Lepisosteus oculatus: one gene and its partners. The protein of the gene in region 1 purifies or fractionates together with the protein of each later gene. This does not show direct contact. Links are inferred from orthologs where the notes say so. Each region holds a gene or a part of one and is shown in the gene's direction. Other genes may lie near its edges. The genes, in order: rnf146, hltf, xrcc1 and parp2.

Region 1 (6,937 bases):
ACATATACTGTAAGTGTATCACAGTCATGAATTATCAGTTTATCAAAATGACACCAAAACATTTTCTCCATCTTCAATAATCTTATTTTTTTTAAAATATACATGCAGACATTGAATGAAAACAATTAAACATTTTGATGATCTTTAGTATAGACTGAATATTTAATTCAGAGTATAATGCACAGGTAGCAAAAACATAAGTTACTGTATATATGCTGTAAAATTGGAAATCACTAAGTCTGAAGAGGTTAGTGAAGACAGGACTTCATGAAAAAGGTGTCCATGGTGACATATTATTTATGTTTTCCAGACACTGTGGATAAGAAATAAAAGATAATAAAAATTTTAGAATATCTAGTTATGAAATGTTAAGGGATGTTACATTCAAATTGTAAAATGTGCTAGTAACACCTTATATCACAATACTGTGTAGAACTACAATATACTGTAGATATTACTTCCCAGAATGTGGAACACTAACAGACAAAAGAAACTAAACACTGAAAACAATGGAACCATATGAAAATATTCAAAGTCCTTAAAATGATCAACAAAGTCAATCCAGTGGAATTCTTCAGAAAAAAACAATGAAATGTGAATTAAAGGACACAGGTGCAAACTACACGGATGTATATATAATCTCTCTATATATTGTTATGACTATCAAAGTGTGTCAGGACCTATAGCAGAAACAATGGACAGAGGTCAAAGCAGTTGCTGAGCTCTATGGGGTCTGAGAGACATTGATCAAAATGAATCGTTTACCTTGGTTAATTTACATTAAGAGTCTTCCACACTCCAGAAACACAGGATAAAAGACAAGCAGAAACAAAAAGAGACACACAGAAAAAGGAACAGACAGAGGAGACGAAACATGCTACAGTAGGTGACCTACTTTGTTCAAATGTGTCTTAAAGACAAGATTCTAGCAAAAAGTATTTGAACTTTGTTTCAGAGAGCTTGTCATTCTGTTATTTTAAGAAACTCTAATTTCCTAAAAAACAAGAGGAATTTTCCTAAACATTCCTCGCATTCCTTTTCCCAGGCTAAAGATGTTTTCTTCTGGTTAATATATTCTGTACATGTTTTAGAACAGGGAGGTAGATTCCCATTCACTCTGGGAGCTTTCTAATCTATGGGAAGATAAATTTAGCTTTGGGTTGAAATCTGTTTTATTTAAGATGCAGGTTTATCTCTTGTGTTGGTCTGATATAGGTATGATAGAGAATTTCTGAATACAGGGTTAGCAGTTTGGGTTTTTCTAGTTGGTCAGGATTCAGACCTCTGAAAGGCCTTGTTTGTTAATAGGGTAACTTTTATGTTTTATGTTGTATGTGTTGTCTAGTTATTGTTATTTTTAATAAATATTAGTTCACAGCTGTTTGCCCCTTATTCATTACTTTTTAACCAGAAGTGTGTAAGAGAAGAAACACATTAGGTGCCTCTAACTAAACAAACTGCTCGGGTATATTCTTGGCATATTTTTACAATATAATAATAACAATAATTGATTGCTTACACGTATATATGGCTTTTCTGTACACTCCACTCAAAGCGCTTTACAGGTAATGTGGACTCCCTTCCACTACCACCAATGTGCAGCATCCACCTGGATGATGCGACGGCAGCCATAGTGTGCCAGAATGCTCAACACATACTGTATCAGCTATCAGTGGGGAGGAGAACAGAGTAATGAAGCCAATTCATAGATGGGGATTATTAGGAGGCCATGATTGATAAAGGTTAGTGGGAAATTTGGCCAGGAAACCCAGGTAACACCCCTACTCTTTTTAAAAAACGCCCTAGGATTTTTAATGACCACTAAGAGTAAGGACCTCGGTTTTACGTCTCATTTGAAGGATGGTGCATTTTAACATTATACTTTATAGGGGGTGACCGCCCCTGCTGGCCCCATTAACACCTCTTCCAGCAGAACCTTAGTTTTTCCCAGGAGTTCTCCCATCTAGGTACTAACCAAGCTCACACTTGCTTAGCTTCAGTGAGTTGCCAGGTGTGAGTTGCAGGGTGATCTGGCTGCTTGGATTATATAAGCTTGGAAAGTTCATATGCTCACGCCTCACAAGACAGCTAAAGACAGGATGACCTATCACAATTATCTTTAAGAGAATGATATTATAGAAGTTGTATAGCTCAAAGGTACTGCAACTGTTCAGCTAATATCATTGTAATACTCAAAATGGTTTTATATGGTAATGAGTGAGATGCTCTAACAGAATGTTTACATGGACTGTACTGCATGTATTGATTTATGCATGGCACTTACTTTTGTTTACGACACCAAGTTATTACACAAATGTCCTGTGTATAGTGCTATGGTGTTAAAGAATAATGTAAAAAACAAGGCGCTGTGCACTGTGTCAAATCAATTCTACTGGTAGGCATCAGAGGACAGTTTATGTCTCCTCTCTCCTGAGCCATAAATGAGTCACTGCTGCAGTGTTAAGTCCTAAAATGTCAATGATTAAAATATTTAAAGGAGATAAAAGCTAAAGGTTAGAACTGAAAAAATATATATAATGTAAAAATAATGTTTTAAAATAAATCATGTACCTAAGTCTTCTTCCTTTCTGTGATTGCAAGACTCATTTAGGCCTCACTGTTGTAATGTAGTTTAAAAATACAGCCTTTTAGTGCTCTGGAAAAGCTAAACCCCACTTCTGTTTACTCAACATACAGGAGAATGAACGTGATGACAAACTCTATAATATGCAGTACAAATGTTTATCATATAAAATGGTTTTATCTTTTTATTCAAGATTAGTATTTTTTTAATAAAACATGTTCATTTCATTCTTTATGTAGATGACACCCTAAGCCGTCCAAAGTTACTTTTATTTACATCCATTTCTACAACAGGGCATTTTACTGGAGTAATTTATTGAAGTACTTTGCTTAAGGATACAACAGCAGTAAAGAAAAGCAATTTAGTTGCGACAACCAGAGTTTGCCAATGATTTCCCTTTGAATTCATTAGACAACTATTAGTCCTAAATATCCTTAAATGACAGCACTGGAGAAGGTAAATGTAGATCGCCATCATAAGAACTCAGTTCAGCTCATCTCTAGATCAAGAAATTCAGGTTACCAAATGTCAGCAAGTGCTTACGGGCCACAACATACTGGTTAAGTCAGTAGACCACAGAATCCTTGATTTTCAAGGCATTATTCTCAAACAAAGACCGGCAAAATAAAATAGTATTCATGATAACAAAAGCAGAACTAAAAGATCTACAGTGTAAGGGTAAGGTCTAATGTGTTTGATATGTGATTTGATATTTACACAGTACAAATCGTGAAATTGGTAGTTTTACTTTATTGCAGGGAGCCCCGCCACTCCAGTTATTACAGTAAACCGTACTGAAGTCGAAAACATAATTCCTACGTCAGAACTCTTTTATTACATTTAAGATACGACAGGCTGCGATCGTTACTTTTATCAACGTATTACTAAACCATAAAACAAATTAACGTTCGCTTTTTTAAATAAGTACTAATTCAAACAGTATATAAGCATTATTTACTTATCAAATGGATCAGTGTTCACCTTTAAAAGTATATAGCAAACGGGAAAGAGAACAAAAATAATGGATTATGTAGTTCAGGTGGGTAGCTGCGTTAGTATGCGTAGGCTGTAAAGGATCAAGCACAACAGGACAATGCTTCCTGTACGTTATCAATGATGTTAATAGAAAACTCATTAATTAAACATATCCAAACCAAACTCACGAAATGTTTAAGCGTTTCAACCCCCCAAAAATAAAACACTAAAACATCTCAGAGACTACCACCCAATAAGCACACCTTTCCTTTGCCTTTTATTTCCAGGTGACTTTTAATTTTATTTCATTTCCAGGTGACTGGAACACCCGGATGCTCCGCCTTTACGCATTCCGTATCTACGTAATGACGTCAAAACGCCCTAATCGTCAGCACGCTGAGGATGATGCGTATTGTTGGTGGCTTCGGCGTCTTGTGAAGGAGCTGGAGGAGAAAAAAGGGCTGGTGAGTATTTTGAGAAATCTGTAAATAGGGCGAATGATAATTTCGAATTTGTTATAAGATGGTGGGGGCGTTGTTTTAGACAGAAATGTTCGGCCGATGAGTAGAAGCCCTTTTATTTACGGTCTGGGAAGCGGCCGGGGTCTGCGCTGCTTGGCCGGGCTATTACCAGCGGCTGTCATCACCCTGACCAGACAACATATCTTATTGTTGTTGTGGTGGGCCCTGGGAGTGGTCGTTGTACGAAATCAAGCAATCCTAAACGACACCTGTCTTTTTAACCACTTCTGCCTTCTCGATGATACTACCCGCCTGCGTGAAGGCCTCGTGAAATGTAATTATTTCAAGTTTAACCTGTCGGGCCTCCGTCGTGTTTAATGGTCAGCCTACGGTTTCCTCACGTCCTTTTGTAGCCACCTTAAAAAACGAAGAGTGTCGGCGAGTCTTTGAGTCTCACGGGCAGTGGCTTCAGAGAGAATGCAGTTTGGTCCTTCAAGCGGTCCGGAACTGGGTGGCTGAGTTCTGTTGAAAATCCGTTGTTGTTAAGGAAGACCTCGTTACTGTGAAGATTGTGTTTGTACCAGCATAGTTTACATTTTAATAACAATGCTGAGCCTGAGTCTCGATTCTGTGTGTATGTATACATGCACATCGTTACCGTAGGGTGTGAACACATTAAGAAATGGAGCAGCACAGTAGTGATAGATAATTCTGCACATATCCAATTGATAGCTAGAGAACGCGGTATTAACTCCGCTACCGTTTGGTGTAGGAACTAAAAATACAGGTGGTTGAGCTCATCCCAAACAACTTAATTTGCAAAACACAGTATTCCTTATAAAGAGGACTTGAAAGAACCTGATTTGGTTTACCAACTTAAAAAGAATGTTGAAACAGTGACGTATGTACTTTTAAGTATTCTACATAATTGATAAAATTAATGTTTTGTGGGAATTACGTTTTTAATGTTCTGTTGATAGAGTGTATAAAGATAACATGTTTTATTTAATATTCAGATATGAAATATTCGAATTTATAAATGCATCAAGTTACAGACAATTCATTTCTGTAGGAAGAAAACAGTTTAAACAGTTTCACATTTCCTCTGAATGCTTTTCTCCCTCCTCATAAGAAGAACTTATAGTTCTTATATATATATCATATAGTAGGTTTGATAGTGGTGATTAGATTGATTTACTTGTTCATCTGTTTATGACCTCTTTGTTACTACATTAAGTAAAGTCCTCTAAAACGGGCATCACGAATTTGAAGAAAATGTAGTTATATATTAAGAAAATGACACCATGCAGACAGTCGCAACAGAATGCGTTAATATACAGGGCAGAAAACAAAACATTGTATGGCCTTATCAGTACATAAATGTATATTTAAATAAGTTATGGTAGGTTAATGCTTGGGTGAAACAAAGTAAATTCTTTTCTAACAAAGGAAGACCTATTTTAGTAGGTTTTTAAAGCGTTTTCTTAAGTGGGCTAGTACCTTGAGAGAAACTGGAGATAGTGACACTACATGTGGAATGTTTAGTAAGAAATAAACGTACTTAAGACCAGGGATTCAAGGTATTCATATCTATGTGACAGATGTTAATTTGCATGTACAGCAGGAGGCAATGGAAAAAACTAATTTGTTTAATATCATGAGCTAAGTAGTGGGAGATGATTGATGAAGAATCATTTGCAAGTTTATGTAAAATATTAATAACCTGAAAGATTATTGAAAGGTGCTAGTTTTCTTTACCGATGTGTTTCTAAACATGATACACCATGATAATTGTCTAAACTTTTTCATTTTGATTTTTTTGTTTCAGATGGGTGTAGATAGGTTTGATTATTGTTTTGCCTACCATTTTTATGTGATGATGAGGATTTTAAAAGGGTGGATTGATAATTGTTTATATTTGTGTATATACATGCATTTCATATCTTTATATAGTTACCCTGGGTTTAGAGGGCAGGTCTCAAGTTGTCTAACTAGTGGGAGGCATGGAAAAATCAGTTTCATGTTATAGGTTTTAACATTTTCTTTTATCAGGGAGAATCTTAAAGAAGAAAAATATCCTCTTGATGAAAGTGCTGTAACTACCGTGTATATCGTAAGTTCTGCATCTGTCTTTCTTTAGTCATATTTTATGGGATATTATGCTCTTTACATGAAAAAAATCAACAACTTGCTTCATATGTAAAAAAATGTGCATATTACGAAATGAACAAATAGAAATCAAGTTAGTTTCAATACATAAAAATAAACAATTTTGACATTATTAAAGTTATTAATCACTTTTAGCATCCTAACCCATGGCATTGAAAGCCCCCAAACATATGCAAATATTTATATATTTGTGAGGTAAATAAAATATGAACTCTAATTTGGGGATTCCAAGATTAACAATTTGGAATTTAATTAGAAGAAAACACCAGGCATAATTACAAATAAGACAAAACCTGGTTGGCCAAGGGAATCATCTGCAGCTGATAACACAAAAATGATCAGTACTGGATAAGAAAATCCTACAAGAGCTGGTAGTGAAATCATCATTAACTTTTAGATAGTGGGACCAAGTTCAATCTTTTCAACTGTTAAGTGTGGAGAAAGGAACTGCAAATGTTTTAAAGAATATCACCTTATCTGTGAAGCGTGGTGGAGATGAAGACATGTCCTCCTCTTCTGAAAACGGCTCAGTGAAATGTATCGTTGATGTATCTAATAAGAAAAACAATGAATTCTGAAGTTTACAGAAACACACTTAATGGAGCAGCACTTTACCATGCAGTTTAATGGTCACCCAAAATATATGGCCAATGCAACCAAGTTTATTAGGAAAAGAATTGAAAATCATAGATTAGACAAATCAAACTCCAGATTAAGATCCACTTCAGCATGTATTTTACATGCTGAA
Region 2 (6,955 bases), on another chromosome or scaffold:
AAAAACACGTCATATAGGTTGTTCTCGATTTACACAGGAGATACACTCCTGAAAAACATTGCATAATTAACAAATGTGTAAATTAAAAATGAATTCACTCTAGTAGTGCATGTACTGTAAATGGGGGGAGGGGGGTATGTTTAGCTCCCATCCAACCAGAGAATCGATTGCTAGATAAAAACCAATCATGCAGTTTTATTCATGTAAGATGTTAATACTTATTTGTATAGACATTAAGCTTTTCTAAGAGTTGGCTGTCAATTTTATGTCAACAGTGAGGGGCAGTGAGTCTTGCCCAGCTGTCTTCAGTCCTCCTACTCTCAGTGAGCCTTTTAAAAATGGACGTGTATTTTGAAGTCTTGTAAATAACATTGCGAATATTTTCAGCCAATTAGTAATCGTAACCCATTTTATTTAACATCAAGGTTGACAATTTGGGAGGTTTTTTTAAAGACTTAAAAATAACAAGCTTGTGTTTGCATTCAGCTTTAAGATTGTTTTAATAATAATAATGTTGCTTTATTAGCCCTATACAATTTCTTGCATTAGGAATTTGTCTTTTCGCATACCCCAGCTTTTCTCCATGAGACACAGACACACAGACAGGAAGAGAAGCTTGGGGTCAGAGCGCAGGGTCAGCCAATGTATGGCGCCCCTGGAGCAGTTGGGGTTAAGGGCCTTGCTCAGGGGCCAAAGGGAGTAGGATTCCACTGCGGGCCGTGGGATTTGAACCGGCAACCTTCCAGTCACAGGCGCAGATCCTCAGCCACAGAGCCACCGCTCTGCATTTTATGCATTGTAGTAGATAGATACTTTATTGATCCCGTGAGGGAAATTGCAGTGCAACAGCAGCTTAACACAGACAACACAGTGTAACGAATGATACAATAATAATAATAATACTACAATACAATCAATACAGTGAGGAGTGCTCTAAAAGAGTTACTCAGTCCAGGTCACACAAAGAACAAACTAGAACAGAACAGTACACAGAAAAATCATATTGCACATAAGAATATAAATATAGATGTAAATATAGATATAAATATAAATGTATTGCACGGGTCCCTGGCATATATTGCACAAAAAATGGTTGTAAATGGGAAAAGAAAGAGAACAGATGTAGCAGTAGATGTGTAGATGCGTTCAGTCCAGAAACAGGTCACTGTCAATGTTGCCTCTGCCCAGACGCAAGGTGGATGAGTTGTACAGTCTTATGGCAGAAGGCAAGAATGACCTCCTGTAGCGCTCTCTGTCACACTGTGGATGAATCATTTTATTGCTGAACGTGCTCTTGTAGATTGTTATACAACATAAACATTAGGTGCAGACTAAGACATTTTCAATATGTATTTAGTAAGCTTGAGATGACAGGAAATGATGAGGGACAGCTTACAACTTGGTACACGCCGAGTGTACAGACTCAAACACTCCATCAAATCACCTGTTGCAGACTGGGACCAAGCATGTTAAAATGAGAACCAATTCATAGCCTACAGTACATTAAGAAATGTATTCAATATATTAATAAGGCCAAACTGGGCAAAGTAAAGGGTGTGTCATTTAAGACCTGCCTGTACCCATTTCTCTTTAATAGTGTTTTTGTGGAAACCAGTTATCAAAAACAATTTCTGAACGTTTTCACATTACACCAGCACTAGCATGTTGGCACATGCTTAAAAAAAACATTTCAGAATGTTTTATATAAGAAATGCATAGCCCAAAGAGAAGGCAAATCCCACATGGACATAAAAACCCATAGCAAACGTACAGGTAAAGGGCATGATTAACTGTGTGGTGTTTTGTATACTATTTTCTATTATCCATCTCACTGCTCTGCAAAACTATTAAAAAAATGTTTCACATAATACGAAAGTCATAAGTTGCTTACAACAGCAGTTTGTAATGTGGTTCTAATTGGAATATAAGCAATTAAAGCCAGTTTTAAATCCAATACCTTTTTAAAACCCTTCTCAACAACAGTATTTTAAGCAGTCTTGAACAATACTTTTTATTGAGGAACTGGTAGCTTGACACAATTTGACAATTTTTCTCATCTCATTAAGAGTTAGTGGGGTGGGTCACCAAAATGAGAATTTAATTATTTTATTGATAAAATAATAATAAATAAAAATATTTAATTGATCACCAGATCCATGACAGGCTGCAATATGCCAACCTCCCACTGAGAATCAAATAGAGGAAGAAAATGTATTAATTTTAAATTTGTGTAAATTCACATGAAACCTGAAGATGCAGTGTATTGTACTGATAATTTCACGTATAGGCGGAGAACTTGATTAGCTTTTAATATGAAATACCTTAGCACATACAAATAATACGCGTAAAACAGATGTGTACGAACAGCACTAGAATAGTTGATAATCCGTGTACGAAACGCAGACATTACATGTCCTGGTAAAAATACAAATATTGACATATGTATTCCCTCTTATACAGTATGTCAGTGCCTTTTCAACTTAATTTCAACACAACCTTCCCAGGGGCACGAAACCAAAAAAGCCAGCGCTTACAGATTTACTTTGCGAGTTATTTGTTACCTTTCAGTTGTTGTTTTTTTTTTAAGCAAAGCCGATTCTGTTATTCACCTTTGCTCTTTCGTTGTTGTGCAGAAGCAGGTCGCTAAGCAATAAGAATTCGCTCAATTACTTTATAACAAATAATCCGTGTACGAAACGCAGACATTACAAGTCCTGGAAAAAATACGAATATTGACATATGTATTCCCTCTTATACAGTACGTCAGTTACTTTATCCTGGCCAGTTCAGTAGAATCAATGAAAACGCTCAACAAAATCATTAAAAAAAGTTTAAAGATACAAAGTTGACCTTTTCCAGGTCAAGTTGCATTAACATTATTTATAAAAATAGACACCGTCAACAACCCAGTATATACTACTACATACTAATGTATACATGACTGGTGCCAAATTCACTCTTCGATGTACAATACAGTGCTGTGGCGTTGACGCCACACGAAACAATAAAACTTCAGTATTACTTACTTTCACAGAGCCCCTGGGGATGGAAGGCATTGCCACAAAAAATACGAAAATGAAATACACAAGGACTATGCAGTGGGTTACGCTGGCTTCTGCAAACCCACAGCATTTAACAATGAAATTCAATGCTTCTGGGAGCCCGAACCCTAAAATTAATGTCAAACACAAAGAAAAAAGTAGAAGGAACGCCATTTTAATAAGAGGGAAAGGAGGCATGTTTTCTGCTGCTCGTCAGACTTCGCTTGTGTTGATCTGGACCGGAACAGTGCGATTTAAAAGTAGAGAACAGCGCCTACCACACCAGAATTCCACTTCCTGCCCAGTTAAACGCCAATCGCTCAGCTTCATTTAGTTAATGTTTTGATAAAATGTAACTGAATTCTCACATACAGTAACATGCACTTAATTCAGCACTAGGAAAGCAAGCTAGGGCTGCCACGTGCTGTGCGTCCTTTATTTCTGTTCAGTCTAATTAATTACAGAGGGGACGGAATCAACTCTACTCGTGAGTGGCCAGATCATGTTTCCAGTAAAACGTCAATCATTAACCAGCTTTTATTTATTGAATTAAAGTCCTCACGTTTTTCCAACTGCGATTTCTCCAGCACACAATTTACAGCAACTACATTACGAAAAACCCACACTGCCACATCCAGTACCTCTGATAACATTATTTTGGATGAAAACCCCCTTTTAGTTCTGCTATTACTGTAGGCAGCTGTTAGAATTTAATGGCAGAGTTTTGCAAAACAAAGGTTCATAATCAAGGTGGAACAAACAGTATTGCTGATAAAGCTGTGTACAACTTCAATTCCTGTACCGCCTATTTCACAGGTAACTAAACCCACTCACCCTGGTTTCATATATTATTGACTCCGCCCAGGTTTTTTACTTGCTTGATCCCGCCTTCTGATTTTTAATTGGAGAAGGGAAGTAAATATCTGCATTTTTTTCATACGCTGCTTAGCTAAGGCAGACAAATTCTTATTTGTTGAGCTATCCTAAATCTTGTTTCTGTTTCCGGGTTTTGGGTATGTGTATAGGTTTTGAGCGTAAAACTCGTGTGGCGCATTATGCGGTATTGACATCTCAAGTCTCTCGGAAGTCAGCGTCTCCTCCATGCCTCCCCTCAAGTGATCTATAATCTGCCGGAAATCGCCCCCCGCTCCCACATTTGTCTGTTGGCGACACCCCCGGTCCGAAAGAAATCGTCAGCGAATTATTTAATTATATAATATGACCCTGAGTCATCTGAGAATCCGCTTAAATCTGCTAAACCAGTGGCATCTCTGTACAACGAAAGTTTGCAAAGAAAGCGAGATTATTCAACGGGACTGGTGAGTTATACTGTAGCATTTATAGAATAATGCATACATATTATAGTATCTATCAGCGATTTATTTAATTATATAGCTGTGATTTTGTTTTCGGAGGGGGACCCGCCCCCTCTGGTCCGAAAGTTTTCGCGGGAGGGACGACCCCCCTCGCTGAAATACATTTTTCAAAGTTGGGATGTCTGAAAAGCTATTGTAAATAGTATTTCCGTGTAATGTTTGCAATGGTGATGGACAACTGAATAATATTTTCCTTGTTCAGTAAGAAACCTGTATCGGTTTTGGAACTGGTGTTTTGCATTTCTTTCTGGGACTAGTGTTGCAGTGCAAGCTTATTCTCTGCAAGGCGTGGTGTTTTTGAAGTGTGTTGTTATTTTGAATAGCGATCAGTGTTAAAAAAAATGTTGGTTCTAAAAATAATTGGTAATTCTGGAGTGTCACGATTTCTAAAAAGATTCATATTCTGCTTGGAGCAGGGAAAGGGATTAAAATAGTTTCTGAATTTAAGAGCTGTGTATAGCTAACAAGATTATTGGAGGGTACACAGAGCAGCTTTTACAAGCTCCTCTGTAAGGAATGTGTCTAAGCGATTTAACAAGTACTAAACATTGTGCATTAGGGAAATGGAGTAATTTTCTGTAATATTATTTGCATTTATCAATTTTTTAGTGCTGTAGCTCACAATACTGATAATGTGTTCTTCAATATTATAATTAATAATTGCTTACACTTCTGGACACTCCACTCAAAGTGCTTTACAGGCAATGGGGACTCCCCTCCAGCACCACCAATGTGCAGCCCCACCTGGATGATGCAACGGCAGCCATAGTGTGCCAGTATACTCGCCACACATCAGCTTTCAGTGGGGAGGAGAGCAGAGTGGAATTATTGTTACAACACCTATGTCCAAATATAGATTAATTACTATTTAAATGAACATTTGACAGCGTTACTGCTCTTTTATGTTCCTGTGAAGTTATTTAGAAATTAATTTGTAAAGCCTTATTTCTCATCGTCATACAACATCATTGAAACATATCGTACTCTGTTATGGTATCTGTGGATGGTATCTCACAGATCTGCTTTAATGATCCCCTGCACTCTTGTGATCCAGTGGTTAAAAAGTAGGTATTGAATGGTTGAAGTGCTGCAGTACATCTTCAACCTGAGCCTGAGACTAGAAAGGGTTCCAGGGCTCTGGAAGACACCTTGCCTGGTGCCAGTACCCCAAAAGGGGCACCCTAAAGTCTTAAATGACTACAGACCAGTGGCACTGACATCACACCTGATGAAAACTCTGGAAAGGCTTGTACTAGACCAACTCAGAACCCTGGTGAGTACAGCACTTGACCCCCTGCAGTTCGCCTACCGGTCACACATGGGAGTGGAGGATGCAATCATCTTTCTGCTACACAGACCTAACTCTCACCTGGAGAAGACGGGGAGCATTGTGAGAGTTATGTTCTTTTATTTCTCCAGTGCCTTTAACACCATCCATCCCCCATTACTGAGAGAGAAGCTAAGAGCTGCGCAGGTGGACACTCCCCTGGTGTCCTGGATTATAGACTATCTGACCTGCAGGCCACAGTATGTACGGCTGCAGAGCTGTGTGTCCGAACAGATTGTTAGCAGTACTGGGGCTCCACAGGGGACTGTCCTTGCTCCATTCCTGTTTACCTTTTACACCTCTGACTTCAGGTACAACTCTGAGGCGTGTCATCTGCAGACGTTTTTGGATGACTCTGCAATTGTGGGGTGTATTAGGGGAGGGAGGAGGAATAAATGAGCTTGGTTACCAACTTTGTGGAGTGGTGTCATCTTAACCATCTCCAGCTAAACACCAGCAAGACTAAAGAAATGGTCATGGACTTTCGAAGGAATAAGTCTCTGCTGAACCCTTTTTCCATCCAGGGCGAGGACATAGAGGTGGTGCAGTCCTACAAGCAATAAGCTGGAGTGGTCTGTTAACACTGACACCCTGTCCAAGAAAGGTCAGAGCCAACTATTTTCTTAGGAGGCTCAGGTCCTTTGGTGTATGTGGAACACTGTTACGCATTTTATTTGAATCAGTGGTGGCAGCGGCCATCTTCTACGATGTTGTGTGCTGGGGCAGCAGCATCACGACAAGAGATGTAAATAGGCTCAACAAACTCATCAAGTGGATCTGTGTTGGGGCTGAGCCTTGACCCCCTGGAGGTGGTGGCTGAAAGGAGAATGCTGACCAAGCTTACAACCATCATGAACAACGCCTCTCATCCACTTCATGGGACTGTAACTGGGCAGCTGAGCACTTTTAGCAACAGACTGCTCCAGCTACGGTGCTCAAGGGAACGTTTCCGCAGGTCTTTCCTCCTGGCGGCTGTCAGGGTGTATAACGCTGCCCTAGGCTAGGACTGTTAGCCCTTCATCTGCTCGTCTATGGACAGCATGTTGCACTATTGTACTTTTTGGGCACTCAATCTGTATATACCTATGCACGTTTTGCACAAATGTTATTGTTTTACAGTGACTATGAGCATATTTTGCACACATCTAACTATGTATTTATTTTTTATTACTGTACGTATTTTAATTTTACGTCTATTCTGATGTCTGTTT
Region 3 (7,384 bases), on another chromosome or scaffold:
GAAACCCACACAAACATGGGGAGACCATACAAACTGCATACAGAGTACACCCCAGGAATGGAACCCAGTGCAGTCAGGCAGTAATGCTAACCACTGTACTACCATGCTATTATTTACCATTAGTTCAAATTTAATATATCCTTAAAGTCCCTTCTCTGATGTGTTAAAATATCCTCCTCCAGGAAATTAATACAATTCCCAAGAAATTAGACCAGGCAACTAATGTCATACAGTTCTGCACAACAATCCAAAAAGTTACCATCATTCAATCTTGTCTAATTTTATTTGCGTATTGCCTTAACAGTACACAAATGTACTGTGGCATTTTAACAAGATTAAGATTTCAGTTTACTTTGTCATTATATACTGTACAGTCAATTATTGACACACTCTGTGTTAGTTACTGTATTTGGTAAAATAATGAATGCTCTTTTTATTTGACTTGTTCTGCAAGATCTGAAGTGGTCATCAGTGGTGAAGGTTTTTAGTGCTGCTAAAATTCTGTCATTTCCAAATGATTGATTATGATGAAATAACTCTTACAAACAAAAAATCGTACATGAAAGGTATAAAATGTGATGTCTCTGTTGATGTTGTTGAGAATATGAGGGTTATAGTAAGCAAAATCATTAATTAAATATTTCATGAACAATATGGAAGTAATATTTTTTTCTTATCCACACCATTTCTAGAAAAAATGTACTTTACAGTAAATACAATGCTGTCTTCGAATGCAAAATGCAGAAGTCTATGGTGTAGCTATTCTGTTTTAAACAAATGGACAGTTTTAGAAACACAGATACAGTAGATCTGTATTTATTTTCTTGTGCAAAAAGTAATCTTTTACCTGTCTGGTTTTGTAGACTGGCATAAATCATGTTAATAACTAGAAACACTGAACAATGGATTAATTCAATTTGATTGACACAATGTATCAGTTGCTAAAGCCCTTTATATTATCTACACAGGTGTAGTTCACCTTGAGCTGTTGTCATCTTTCTTTCGAAGGTTTTTGTCTAATTCGTTTACACTGAAATTTGACTTTTGTTCATGGAAAACATAGAAGAGCAAAGCAAACATTATTTAGAAATCTTATAGTAAAATTATAAGCAGAGTCCCAGATTTTGTTGGTTTTGCAATTGACCTTAACCATCAATAGATTTCACAACACATATACACACGTACGGTACATACACTTTCTTATATTATACAGTATATACTGTATACTGTATATCAGACTACATCATACTGTTAGTAACCTTAGCAGCATTCACAGACTAGACTGCAGTGTTTATGTTTTGTTTTGTTGCATACTGTAAATAAACACCCCTATGGAGCTAAGATCACAGTTTTAGGCTACTACATGTTTTATTTTTTTATTTTTTAAATTTTCACACACACCGTCTTTTGGTAAGCTGTAACTGAAAAAAACTCACAAGCACAAAGATGGAGTGTGATTTTTTTAAGTGACTGCTTACTTGAAATTTGAACACTGTCCAAAGTGTTTCTGGTTGACTGCAAACCTTCTAACACTTTTCTTCTTTGAAAATAAAACAAGGCCACTTTTCAAAACGTTGTATTTTTTTTCTATTCCCCGCATAACATCTTTGAGTTTGTTGGTAGTCTGTTAAGGCCAACCAAAAATCATAATTACACTTTGGAGTGTATTTATGCATTTTATTTTCAAGGGTGAAATTAGGATGGTACTATATCTCTTCCTGGTTCTGGCCTTTAGATTTTATATGAAAACCTTTTATGTCTTTTTGTTAATCAAAATCTGATTTGGGGGCGGTTTCAATGAAGAAAATATTTTGAAACCCGAAAATGACCTCCTTGATCCACATATTTGAGGTTCCCATTGATGCAAAAAAACACAAATTAATTATTTTCTCAAAACAAGAAAATATTGTGAGTGTATAACAAAAGCTTTGTTTTATGGCTTGAGTATACAGTGGGTTGTACTATCTTGTATTATCAGAAACAAACAAAAGGAGGAAATTCAGATCTTTGGCACGTAAAAGATGAGTTGGGTTTGCACCACATTTCCACAACTCTCTCTTTGTACTGTATGCAACTATTTCCCATTTCCTCAAGTGCTTTAATTATTGTTGATATTAAATAACCTAAGATTATAAGTAAACATCTGTATCCCGGTTTCCTGAGTAATTAGCTGTATCATTTTGGAGTTCAAAAATATATCCATAGTCAAGTACTGTATAGTAACCATTGTCAGTGACTCTTCAGCTGATGAATTGTCTGGAAGATGAAGACTTCTTTTGTATTTACTGTGATACATAGTTAATGAAATAAACTGACTATTTCAGACTGACATTTTGCTTTTTGTTGGTCGTATAATTTTACATTTATTATTTTGATGCTATTTACAAACTTTACGGTCCACTATGTTTGCAAGATTCCCAGTTATTAGGTAGAATGGCCTGAGTAGCTTTGTGTTATGAGTAACTGAGTAACTTTTTGCTAAACTCTGGATCAGAAGGTTATTGTTAAACCTCCTAATGTCCTCCAGTTAATCTTTACATTTTCTCGAATAGCTTCTACACTTTGTCTCTATGAGATTCACAGATTTAAAAACAAAAACTCACTTGCTGCTTACTTCGGCTTCTGCTCCTATTCGGTGGTCTCTGGCGGCCTCTTGTGGCTCTTTACTATTTACTCTTAATTCAGACAGAGGCTGCAAAGACACTTCCAACGTCTTCTATAGGTACCTATTTTAACACTGTTGGGAAAAGTTGCTATTGAAGAGTAATACATTACAGTGACTGGTTACTTGTGTGAGGCAGGGCTTTTTTTAAATTATAAGTAAAAAAAGTTATATTACATTTAGGGAAAAAATAATGATCATCAGTCACAATAATTTATTGTAAGAAATTGGTTACATGTCAGCAGGTCCTGAGGTAGCCTCCATTTGTGATTATTTTCATTTTCTTTGAATTGATTATAAATCTTCATTGTAAAGATTCCCTTCTGTGGCCTAAATGTAGGGGTACGTGTGCTCCCAAAAATATATTTGAATTAGGCTCCATTTACATTTGCAACAAGAAGACTAATAATTAAAAACCCTCCTTTCATTTGCTTTTAAGTAATTCTTCCATTGCATGCTGTGTAAGCTTTTGGTTGTTCTTCTTTATCAAAATGCACAAAACTATATCAATGCAATCCTGCTTTGAAGGTTTTGGCCTTTTGCTTATTACCTAAGAATAAAGAACCATCTCTCCCAGAGCATTTCAGCTAAAACAACAAAGACCAGCCGAATGTGGTGACCAGCACAAGAAAATAAATGCGTCATTTTATTTAACGAAAACGTCCAGTGCTGCAACGCATGTAAATTAAAATATATATATAGATTTAAATGCAAAAGGAGGAAATACAACAAACAGGGGTACATATACAGAAATATATACAGATGTCTCAACATGACACAACAAGGTAGCAACAAGTGAATGAAACAGGAGGAAAAAAGAAAAAAAAACACAAAAAAAAGAAACCATCTTGTCCATAGTACAGAGGTTATGTGGTGTTAGAGGTTACATTACATAAGTTTATATGCTAAAAGACTTTTGTAGACCAACTCACCATGCTTATTTTAAAATATTTTCAGTAAATTAGAGTATAGCTTGAATGAGTTAGGAAATTCTTTAAAGCTTATAGGATTCTTTTTTACTCTACACGTGTGTATGTGAAATTTTGCAAACAAGAGAATAACATTAACCGTTAAACGGACTTCTTTGCTTGGATTCGAGACACAGAGAACAATATCTTTAAAAGTTAAATGTACACAGATATTACTGTTGTATAGCCAAGAACAAACAGAGTGCCAGAAAGTTGTTCAATGGTGACATGAGGAAAAAAAATGTAATTTCTGAGGAATTCTCAGAAATTCCTTAGAGGTATACAGTATATGTTATTCGGTATTTTAAAATGAATATCCTTGGTTTTTGGTGGCGTGGAGAGAGTAATGCATTCAGTTCTAATAATCTATCCTTGATGGCTGGGAAGAATCTCTCAGCCATAATAGTACAGATGTATTTACTTTTTTTTCCAATATATTATAAGTTCCAATTTTGATCTCTGGTAGTAGAGGAATTATATTTCTCTGGATAGGGACGTTTTTTTTTTACCAAAGCTAGGAGAGCAGGTGGAATTGCCTCAATAATTTCTTTGAATTGCTTTGGGTTGCATTCAATGTCATATTTTTTTTTTAACAAAGTCACCATATTCATAGCCATCTCCATTAGCTTCTAATTGAGAGCAACGCATGTAAATGATCTAATGTGCCACAGTTCAACACGACCACCGTAAAGATGGCGGCTGGTGCTGGCTTTGCCTGGTTTGACCCGGAAATAGTTTCTGGTTGGTTCTCACAATTGACAACAGAAAGGAGCGCCAGCAAAAAGAGGGAACTGAGCTGGAAGGAGATGTTGGAAATGGGAAGGATTTTTATTGAATAAAAGTAACAGTAGAACTCGTTATCGGACATTTTTTGGCGTTTTTGTAACCAAACACTATTGTAGGAGAAAGTAAAACTCACAACCTCTTCCAGACTTTTTAACGCCTGACACAAGTTAAAATCCAGGATAAAGAGAGGTGGTCATTGTACTGTATGTCGGATGGCCTGTCTAATGAGTGCTGTGCAGTAGGTGAATAGGTGCACTTTTCCTAACGCACTTAAAATTCATTTACCGATTGTTATTTTTCCATAAACCAATCGTGTGCAATATGTCCGCAACACGCGTTTTATGATTTTCGTTTGCTCACTTCAGCAAATGCGTATTTATTTAACCCCCAACGACAATTCAACTTTATAGCTATTTTCTAAACTATGCCGGAGATTAAATTGCAACACGTTGTCTCCTGCAGCAGCGAGGACAGTGTAAGTAAACTTTTGTGTGGTTGTGAAGCCTCCCGACTTTGACAAATAAAGAGACGCGTACGCATATCTGATATACTGTGTAAGAGTGCTATATGTATTATGCAATACTGTTTTAATAATTCCCAAGACACGTTTCCTTTACAGAACTTATGATATTTGCAAACTGTAAATAATAGGTAAGCAATAGAATAAAGTTATGTTTTTACATGTCTTATGTTCGTATTCAGGTGAACTAAACTATGAGTGGATTGGATGCTTGGATGTTCACGTTGTTGATATGTGTCCTTTAATGCAGTTTCGCTTACAAGAAGAATCGGTTCTGTTTCACTCTAACACACCGAAACCCTGTTGCATTGTAGTAAAACGTATTTTTTAAACGTAATATCATTGATAAGGTTCTGTTTTTCCTCAGTATACTGTAATTCCTTGCATGTGTGAAATGTTTAGTGAGCTTTAAGGTTCTCCTGCTTAACGCAAGTCACTGAGGGGTACAGTTTTTAGCAAATGCTGTTTCTTTCTGTCTAGATCTGCGGTGCTAATTGAGTGCTTTAATTGATCAGTTTACATCTTTACAATTTTATCTAACTTGTTTCTGCACTCAAATCGGATCTGGAGTGTTTGCCAGGACATAAGCACACTGAATTTTAAGAAGCCACTTTAAATTTTCACATTTACATTTTCACATTCTTTGGTTGCACTGTTTCCCTGTTGTCTGTAAGTGGGACTGTGTGATTTCTGAAATTTGAAAAAAGGGTGTTTATTCTTACTACTGTAACTATTTGTGTCTTTACATGAATCTTGGTCTTCTTGTTAGTTACTTGAATATTTTTAATTTAATATTTTCCTTGTATTCTAATAGGTCTGAACTAATAATAAATTGTTAACTGTGTTGGAATATTTTCTCTCTCTTTGCTTATGCACATACCCCATTCAGAATAAGTGTTTCTGACTGCCATTGGACTTTATCAGTGAGATTGCATGTCTGTTGTGTCATGTATCACTTGTGCTGCCATTCCAAACTACATCACAGACGTGTGTATTCGCAAAATTTTCAAGAATCGCTAGAGTGTGTGGTGAGCCCGAGCCCGTTTGGATGTCAGCCTGCCTGACCCATTTGTCACTTTCAAATTTCGCTTCCAGACGCACAAGGCAGAGAATCTGCTGAAAGCCGACACATACAGGAAATGGAAAGCAGCCAGGCTGGGAGAGAAACAGATCTCTGTCATTTTACAGGTAGGAAAAATCTATTCTTCTTCTCTATAGGCACATGGGAATGAAAACTTTGCGAGTTTGTCTCCAGGATCGTATTAAGTTTAGGAATGATAGTCTTCAGTTTCAGACATGGAATAAATAAATGCCCCAGAATGTTTTGATTCATGTAAAATGTTCTATTAAACAAAGAAACAAAGTGTGGACAGAGATCCAATTAAAATTCCCACTACAGCAGCTTGATCAGGATGCAAGCTGATGTTATTTGCAATGGTGGAAACGCATGCAGTGGATTCACATCTGTTTGGTGTTTCTTCTAAATCTCCAAGTGATGTTATCAGTCGGTTTACATAACACTACATTTACCATTTTTTAAATGGGTCTGGAGTACTACTTATTTGCAAAGGTTAAAAATGTGTCTGGGTGTGGATTGCTTGAAATCAACATTTAAACAGCTGTAGAAATTATTATTCTCGTAGCGCTAATATAACTTACCAAAAATGTCATCATGTAAAATGTATAACAAGCCTGAAAAGACAGCTTATTGCAATATCCCAGTCACACAAGTTTTGTTTTTCTGTCCATGCAGTTTGAGAAGGCAGAGCAGATCCACAGCATTGACATTGGTAATGAAGGCTCAGCTTTTATTGAGGTGCTGGTGGGGAACTCCACTTCAGTGAAAGACCAGGACTATGAGGTGAGCAGGATGTGTATTGAGCAGTCAGTAGGAACACCCCCAGATCATGGATAGAGATCCTGAGACATTTGCACAATGGTGTCTACCTTCAGGCTAGATCTTCCATTGCGAAGAGGATTGCAATACCCCAACGTAATTACAGTGTATGATTTAAGACCATGACAACAATAGGTTGCACATGCTTTATAATGGGATTCTGTCCTATTCCTCTCAAAGATCCAGAACACATGTACCGGTTCATCCGTCCCTCTGAGCCCTAAAGCATACCTGTTGTTCCATCTTGTCCCACAAATGTTCAGTGTGGCTCAATTGACATAACTGTAACATTCACATCTCCCACAAAGGCAGATATATGAGCTGCAGGAGCATATAACTTGTAATTCCTGGAATATTGTCCGACACTTTGTCCGCAACAAGCTTTCAAACAATTTTTGCAGACATTTCCTTTTCTCACTAGTAACCTATTTTCTGTTTGTAACTAAACCAGGCCTGTTAGTAGGGTATGCATAGCATAATAGTCACATTGTATCCTCACATACAAAGCAGTTGTCACACAAGGAGCATGAAGATAAGGCAAGATAAGCTCA
Region 4 (7,211 bases), on another chromosome or scaffold:
CTGGGAGCTCTGCCGCACTCTCCTGTGTGAGGGTGTATCGCTGTGTCTGTGTGAGTCTCACTGTCTCACTATCACTGTGTCTGTGTCAGTCTCACTGTCTCACTATCACTGTGTCAGTCTCGGTCAGCGACAACGCCCTTCCGTCTCTCTCTGCAGTGTTTGGCAGAGGACAGCCAGGCGGTGCTGAGCACAGAGCCCACAGACACCAGCCTGGAGGAGCACAGCTTCGCTGCCCTCGTCCTGTCCCTGGACATCAGCATGATCTTCATCTACCTGCTTCTGCTCAGCGACTAGCACTGGCTGGGACACACACTCTCTCCATGTCACACACACACTCTCTCTCTGTGACACACACACACTCCCTCTGTGATGCGCACACACACACTCTCTGTGACACAGATATTCTATGATACACACTCTCTCTGTGACAAACACACTCTCCATGTTACACACACACAGACACACTCTCTCTGTGACACACGCACACTGTGATACACACGCATCAAGTGATACACTGAGATACAGACATACAGTGATACACACATTGTGATGAACACACCAGCATTCCCTACTGGGAAACCGTGCACACCTACACAACACAAGTTCTGTACTACGAACATTCACGCAATCATTATCACAGCATCATCACAGACCCCCGAACGCTGTCACTAAGAAAAGTGTCATATGTTTAGTCCTTATATTGTGCTGTTTTTATAATAATTGCTTACACTTCTATAGCGCTTTTCTGGACACTCCACTCAAAGCACTTTACAGGTAATGGGGATCCCCTCCACCACCACCAGTGTGTAGCATTCACCTGGATGATGCAACAGCAGCCATAGTGCGCCAGAACACTCACCACACATCAGCTATCAGTGGGGAGGAGAGCCGAGTAATGAAGCCAATTTATAGAGGGGGATTATTAGGAGGCCATGACTGGTAAGGGCCAATGGGAAATTTTGCCAGGACACCGGGGTTACACCCCTACTCTTTTTGAGAAACGCCCTGGGATTTTTCATGACCACAGAGAGTCAGGACCTCGGTTTTACATCTCATCCAAAGGACGGCGGCTGTTTAAAGTATAGTGTTCCCGTCACTATACTGGGGCATTAGGTCCCACATAGATCGCAGGGTGAGCACCCCCTGCTGGCCCCACTAACGCCTCTTCCAGCAGCAACCTTAGTTTTTCCCAGGAGTCTCCCATTCAAGTACTGATCAGGCTCATACCTGCTGAGCTTCAGTGGGCTGACAGTTGTGAGTTGCAGGGTGATATGGCTGCTGGCTATGTATCCTCTTTTACCATCAACCCTGCTTTGGGATATTTTTGGTATGGAAGGTGCTTTATAAAATAAAGTGTATTGTGATGATTATAAGCAGTGGGACAGCAGGGTAGCACAGTGGTCTGCCATGCTGCCTTGTAGTACTGGGACCCTGTGGTCAATGTTCTCCCTGTGTTTGCCTGGGTTTCCTCTAACAGTCCAAAGACATGCTGGTGAGGCCAATCAGTTTCTGGGAAAACTGCATCTGGTGTCCTGTCCTGTCGTGTGTGTCCTGTGATGGACTGGTGTCCTGACCAGAGCGTACCCTGCCATGTGCCCAGCACCTTGCTTGCTGCAATAGACTTTGGCTCCCACCTGACCCTGTACTTGGTGAAGTGGTTAGAAAAAGGATGAAAGCATTATTAACAACAATATTACTTTTTAGAGAAGTGGTGTTGGTGGACCAGCAGGTGGCGCTGTGTGCTCTTTTCCCAGAATTTCCCCCTGAATGGGAGGGGCCAGTCAGGCACACTGGGTCATCAGAGGTGCCTCCCTTCCAGTGAGCTGCAAAACTGACGTGGTCCCTCCTATGGACCCTGAGAGAGAGGCCAAGGCTGTGGGGTGAGACAGGGCTGCAGCCTGAGCCCAACACTGTTCAATATCTATATCAACGAATTAGCAGGAATGTTAGAACCGTCTGCAGCTCCTGGTCTCACACTATACGACACAGAAATCAAGTTCCTGCTCTACGCAGATGACCTGGTCCTGCTGTCGCCCACAGAACGGGGGCTGCAGCAGAACCTGGCACTGCAGGAGCAGTACTGTCAGACCTGGGCACTGCTGGAGCAGTGATGTCAGACCTGGGCACTGAGGGAGCAGTAATGTCAGACCTGGGCACTGCTGGAGCAGGACTGTCACACCTGGGCACTGCTGGAGCAGGACTGTCAGACCTGGGCACTGCTGGAGCAGGACTGTCACACCTGGGCACTGCTGGAGCAGGACTGTCAGACCAGGGCACTGCTGGAGCAGTAATGTCAGACCTGGGCACTGCTGGAGCAGGACTGTCACACCTGGGCACTGCAGGAGCAGTAATGTCAGACCTGGGCACTGCTGGAGCAGGACTGTCACACCTGGGCACTGCTGGAGCAGTAATGTCAGACCTGGGCACTGCCAATTAGACTGGAGCCAGAACAGGGATACAGGAGGTGGGCACGTAGTTTTCAGATTGTTCAGGGCGTCTGGCTGGATTCCTACCTGCCCAAATTCTGTCTCTCTGTCCACTCATGGCTTCCTAAATAATCCCCATCTGTGAACCGGCGTCAACACTCTGCTGTCTGCTACCAGTAAAGCACTTTGAGTGGAAAGCAAAAAACACGTAAGCATAAGGAATTAATTTACTTTCTTGATCTGCTCGCTCCACACTCCCACAACTCTCTGTGCAAAGAGGTGTCTCCCGTTCTCAGTCTGAAACGCCCTCCACCTTAGAAAGCAGAGAATATTGGAAACCTTCTTTTAAAATTATTTTACTAACTAAAATGGATACAATAGAGCACGCACATATATACATACAACCCTATAAATAACCGTCGGGAGTACGTGCTATAATACAATGAGACTTTGTGAAAAACGATTAAACAAGGTCAATTAAGATCGGGTCCGCAGAGCTTGCATGTGCTTGCAGTTTGGTATAGTCTGTAAAAAAAACTGTTTAGCAGACCTGTGTGAATGAGGCGATTCTGAGGAGCTTTTGTCCGAGAAGCGTGTTCAGTGTCTCTAGTTCAAGAAGGATGTGCCCCTTCCGTCCTCCTCGTTAGTATAGTGGTGAGTATCCCCGCCTGTCACGCGGGAGACCGGGGTTCGATTCCCCGACGGGGAGACGCTGGCTTTTCCTTTTCTCCTCAGCTGTCATTGCCATGAGCTATGTGCGTCATGCAGCTGGGGAAGTATGTCATCGCTGAACGGGAGCCTTTTGCAAAACTGTTTTCGTCCTAGAGCACGCACACGACGTGCACTCGCGTTACAAAGCCCTCGCGTCCAGATAACATCAGGCAAACGGAAAAAGCTGTCTGTGTCAGAAGTGGGATTCGAACCCACGCCTCCAGGGGAGACTGCGACCTGAACGCAGCGCCTTAGACCGCTCGGCCATCCTGAGTCGATGACCAGTCCGTGTCGCCTGCTCTTGCAGTCTGCGGTCTGGAACCTGTGACCCGGCCGCGCTGCAGCTCTTTCGATTCCCACGTTGAGGTTCACCGCCGCTCACACCGCGGAAGTACATAGCGTGCACCTGTCATGGCTCTGAGGAAAGGAGCAAAAGACAACAAAACACCCGCTGGCCCGTACGGGGATCGAACCCGCGACCTTGGCGTTATTAGCACCAGGCTCTAACCAACTGAGCTAACCGGCACCTCGTTACACGTTACCCCACCCCACGGAAAAAAAAAAACGAAGTGTGTGTGTGCGTGTGCTCTCATTGGTTGACATGAGCGAGGGCGGGACAAAGAGGCAGGGGTTTTGATACAACCGGCCGTTTCTTTTAAAAGGATGAGAGCAGCGTTTTTCGCATTGGCCTGCGGGGGATGTTATTTTTAGTGTCTGGTCTGGTTAAGTTTGCTGGTGAATGCTTCTGACTCTCACGGACACGCGTGGACCAAGATGGACGTCGGTACGTGCTTTTCCACCGGCTCCCTGGATGTTGGGTGGCTTGGGGCCGGTTAGCTCAGTTGGTTAGAGCGTTATTTTCAGCTTGCAGTCTGTTTCTGGTGTCTAAGCTGTTGATGAGAAAAGCCGCACGTGGGGGCGCCCTCTGTGAAGAGAAGAGTCTCTTTACCCCACAGAGAACGGAAGCTCAGTGAATCACCTCCATCACCACTGAGAGCACTATCATGAGCAAGTTCTTCCAGCAGGCCGGTTAGCTCAGTTGGTTAGAGCGTGGTGCTAATAACGCCAAGGTCGCGGGTTCGATCCCCGTACGGGCCAGTGGGTGTTTTGTTATCTTTTGCTCCTTTCCTCAGAGCCATTACAGGTGCACGCTATGTACTTCCGCGGTGTGAGCGGCGGTGAACCTTAACGCTGCAGCAAGGCCAGGTCACAGGGTCCAGACCGCAGGCGACACGACCGCAGGCGACACTTCCGTTCGCAGTCTGAATCGCACTTCATCTTCGGAAGAAAGACAAGGGGAAATCTTTATTTTGTTTTTGTTTCGTTTCCAGCGTTGCTGTAAAGAGAAAGGTACAACGCTAAAGTAAAGAGCGTGCACGACGTGAAATAGTTCGGGGGGACAGAACAACAAAAAGACCCGCTGGCCCGTACGGGGATCGAACCCGCGACCTTGGCGTTATTAGCACCACGCTCTAACCAACTGAGCTAACCGGCCCCACGCAGAGCCAGTTCCCAGGGATCCATCCGAAAAGCCAGTTAAGACGTCCACCTCAGCCCACTCGTGTCCGTGGCAGTCAAAAAAGAAGCATTCACTAGCAAATTTAACCAAGCCAACCACTAAAATTCCCCGCAGGCCAATGCGAAAAGCACCGCTCTCATCTTTTTAAGTGAAACGGCCGGTTGTGTCACTGCGGCCGCCCTCAGCACACGAACCCAGGGAAACCATTGTAGTCCACCGGGGCGGGGCTTACACACGCACACCCCTGCCTCTTTGTCCCGCATTCGCTCATGTTAGCCAATGAGAACCTCCACCGAGTCTAATTGACAGCGACGTCGACCAATGGCGAGGACGAGTGGAGGGCGCCCGCGCGCGCGCGCTTCCTGTAGGTCGGAGCAACAAGAGAGCTAGAAAGAGTTACTGCGCCGACTACCACCTTATCCGTTAACTACATAACAACACCGAAACTCCCCAACTCCAGGGACCTGGTAACACACACACACATATATATATATTTTCTGTGTTACCATGCCCCGGACCCGAGGAAGCCGTAACAGGACTGAGGTTTCAGCAGAAGAAACAGCCCAGACTGAGCAGAAACCAGGTAGTTCGCGGAACAGACACCGTTTTGTTTTACTGGGGGGCTGTCCTGTTAGAGACCCCCACAGCAGAGGAAACAGGCTGAAAGAACACGCGTGTACACGCGTGAGGGACCACACGCCGGCCGGAGAAACAGGGCGCCTCCCGGCTGTCTCTCCGCCACTCTGCGGCTCCGTGCTCTCGGTTAGCCGAACGGGGCTTTGCTGCGAATTGTTCTCCAGCTCTGGCGGCGAGGCACGGTCGCATTCGTGCCGTGGGATTTGCGATCGGTCTCGGCCGCTGGAGAGCAGCCCTCGTTGAGAGGGGGTGTGCTGCCTGGCGTGTAAATCAAGCGGACCTGTACAGCACCGTGGGCTGCATCGGGTCCCGTGTCATTCCCCCCTGCTCTCTCTGTCGGAGAGCGTGTGGCAGTGTGTGACTCTGTTCTCTCTGTCGGAGAGCCTGTGGCAGTGTGTGACTGTGCTCTCTCTCTGTCAGAGAGCCTGTGGCAGTGTGTGACTCTGTTCTCTCTGTCGGAGAGCCTGTGGCAGTGTGTGACTGTGCTCTCTCTCTGTCAGAGAGCCTGTGTCAGTGTGTGTCTCTGCTCTCTCTGTCAGAGAGCCTGTCTCAGTGTGTGACTCTGCTCTCTCTCTGTCAGAGAGCCTGTGTCAGTGTGTGGCTCTGTTCTCTCTGTCAGAGAGCCTGTGGCAGTGTGTGTCTCTGCTCTCTCTGTCGGAGAGCCTGTGGCAGTGTGTGACTCTGCTCTCTCTCTCTGTCAGAGAGCCTGTGGCAGTGTGTGACTCTGCTCTCTCTGTCAGAGAGCCTGTGGCAGTGTGTGACTCTGCTCTCTCTCTCTGTCAGAGAGCCTGTGGCAGTGTGTGTCTCTGCTCTCTCTGTCGGAGAGCCTGTGGCAGTGTGTGACTCTGCTCTCTCTCTCTGTCAGAGAGCCTGTGGCAGTGTGTGACTCTGCTCTCTCTGTCAGAGAGCCTGTGGCAGTGTGTGTCTCTGCTCTCTCTGTCGGAGAGCCTGTGGCAGTGTGTGACTCTGCTCTCTCTGTCGGAGAGCCTGTGGCAGTGTGTGACTCTGCTCTCTCTCTCTGTCAGAGAGCCTGTGGCAGTGTGTGACTCTGCTCTCTCTGTCAGAGAGCCTGTGGCAGTGTGTGTCTCTGCTCTCTCTGTCGGAGAGCCTGTGGCAGTGTGTGACTCTGCTCTCTCTGTCGGAGAGCCTGTGGCAGTGTGTGTCTCTGCTCTCTCTGTCGGAGAGCCTGTGGCAGTGTGTGACTCTGCTCTCTCTGTCGGAGAGCCTGTGGCAGTGTGTGTCTCTGCTCTCTCTGTCGGAGAGCCTGTGGCAGTGTGTGACTCTGCTCTCTCTGTCAGAGAGCCTGTGGCAGTGTGTGACTCTGCTCTCTCTGTCAGAGAGCTTGTGGCAGTGTGTGACTCTGTTCTCTCTGTCAGAGAGCCTGTGGCAGTGTGTGACTCTGCTCTCTCTGTCAGAGAGCTTGTGGCAGTGTGTGTCTCTGTTCTCTCTGTCAGAGAGCCTGTGGCAGTGTGTGACTGTGCTCTCTCTCTGTCAGAGAGCGTGTGGCAGTGTGTGTCTCTGCTCTCTCTGTCGGAGAGCCTGTGGCAGTGTGTGACTCTGCTCTCTCTGTCGGAGAGCCTGTGGCAGTGTGTGACTGTGCTCTCTCTCTGTCGGAGAGCCTGTGGCAGTGTGTGACTCTGCTCTCTCTGTCGGAGAGCGTGTGTCAGTGTGTGACTCTGCTCTCTCTCTGTCAGAGAGCCTGTGGCAGTGTGTGACTCTGCTCTCTCTCTGTCGGAGAGCGTGTGGCAGTGTGTGACTCTGCTCTCTCTCTGTCAGAGAGCCTGTGGCAGTGTGTGACTGTGCTCTCTCTCTGTCAGAGAGGCTGTGGCAGTGTGTGACTCTGTTCTCTCTGTCGGAGAGCCTGTGGCAGTGTGTGACTGTGCTCTCTCTCTGTCAGAGAGCCTGTGGCAGTGTGTGAC

What was found.
Region 2: the proteins of rnf146 (region 1) and hltf purify together in Homo sapiens (affinity purification with mass spectrometry; 4 studies listed by BioGRID and IntAct, with this or other methods). This does not show direct contact. The link is inferred for Lepisosteus oculatus from reciprocal best matches to the Homo sapiens genes RNF146 and HLTF.
Region 3: the proteins of rnf146 (region 1) and xrcc1 purify together in Homo sapiens (co-immunoprecipitation; 3 studies listed by BioGRID and IntAct, with this or other methods). This does not show direct contact. The link is inferred for Lepisosteus oculatus from reciprocal best matches to the Homo sapiens genes RNF146 and XRCC1.
Region 4: the proteins of rnf146 (region 1) and parp2 purify together in Homo sapiens (affinity purification with mass spectrometry; 4 studies listed by BioGRID and IntAct, counting the BioPlex papers as one, with this or other methods). This does not show direct contact. The link is inferred for Lepisosteus oculatus from reciprocal best matches to the Homo sapiens genes RNF146 and PARP2.

What each region holds. Positions count from the first base shown.
Region 1 is NC_090697.1:37,574,548-37,581,484, forward strand, and holds the start of rnf146 (E3 ubiquitin-protein ligase rnf146), read left to right. Parts: upstream 1-3,934; 5' UTR 3,935-4,023; intron 4,024-6,072; 5' UTR 6,073-6,133; intron 6,134-6,937. UniProt on the Homo sapiens protein: E3 ubiquitin-protein ligase that specifically binds poly-ADP-ribosylated (PARsylated) proteins and mediates their ubiquitination and subsequent degradation. May regulate many important biological processes, such as cell survival and DNA damage response.
Region 2 is NC_090708.1:14,815,814-14,822,768, forward strand, and holds the start of hltf (helicase-like transcription factor), read left to right. Parts: upstream 1-3,930; 5' UTR 3,931-4,259; coding exon 4,260-4,360; intron 4,361-6,955. Other genes in the region: bdh1 (D-beta-hydroxybutyrate dehydrogenase, mitochondrial), read right to left, coding at 3,027-3,239. UniProt on the Homo sapiens protein: Has both helicase and E3 ubiquitin ligase activities. Possesses intrinsic ATP-dependent nucleosome-remodeling activity; This activity may be required for transcriptional activation or repression of specific target promoters.
Region 3 is NC_090722.1:8,027,338-8,034,721, reverse strand, and holds the start of xrcc1 (DNA repair protein XRCC1), read left to right. Parts: upstream 1-4,383; 5' UTR 4,384-4,840; coding exon 4,841-4,891; intron 4,892-6,031; coding exon 6,032-6,124; intron 6,125-6,689; coding exon 6,690-6,797; intron 6,798-7,384. UniProt on the Homo sapiens protein: Scaffold protein involved in DNA single-strand break repair by mediating the assembly of DNA break repair protein complexes. Negatively regulates ADP-ribosyltransferase activity of PARP1 during base-excision repair in order to prevent excessive PARP1 activity.
Region 4 is NC_090699.1:10,811,971-10,819,181, reverse strand, and holds the start of parp2 (poly [ADP-ribose] polymerase 2), read left to right. Parts: upstream 1-4,206; 5' UTR 4,207-5,163; coding exon 5,164-5,239; intron 5,240-7,211. Other genes in the region: protein lifeguard 1-like, read left to right, coding at 157-294. UniProt on the Homo sapiens protein: Poly-ADP-ribosyltransferase that mediates poly-ADP-ribosylation of proteins and plays a key role in DNA repair.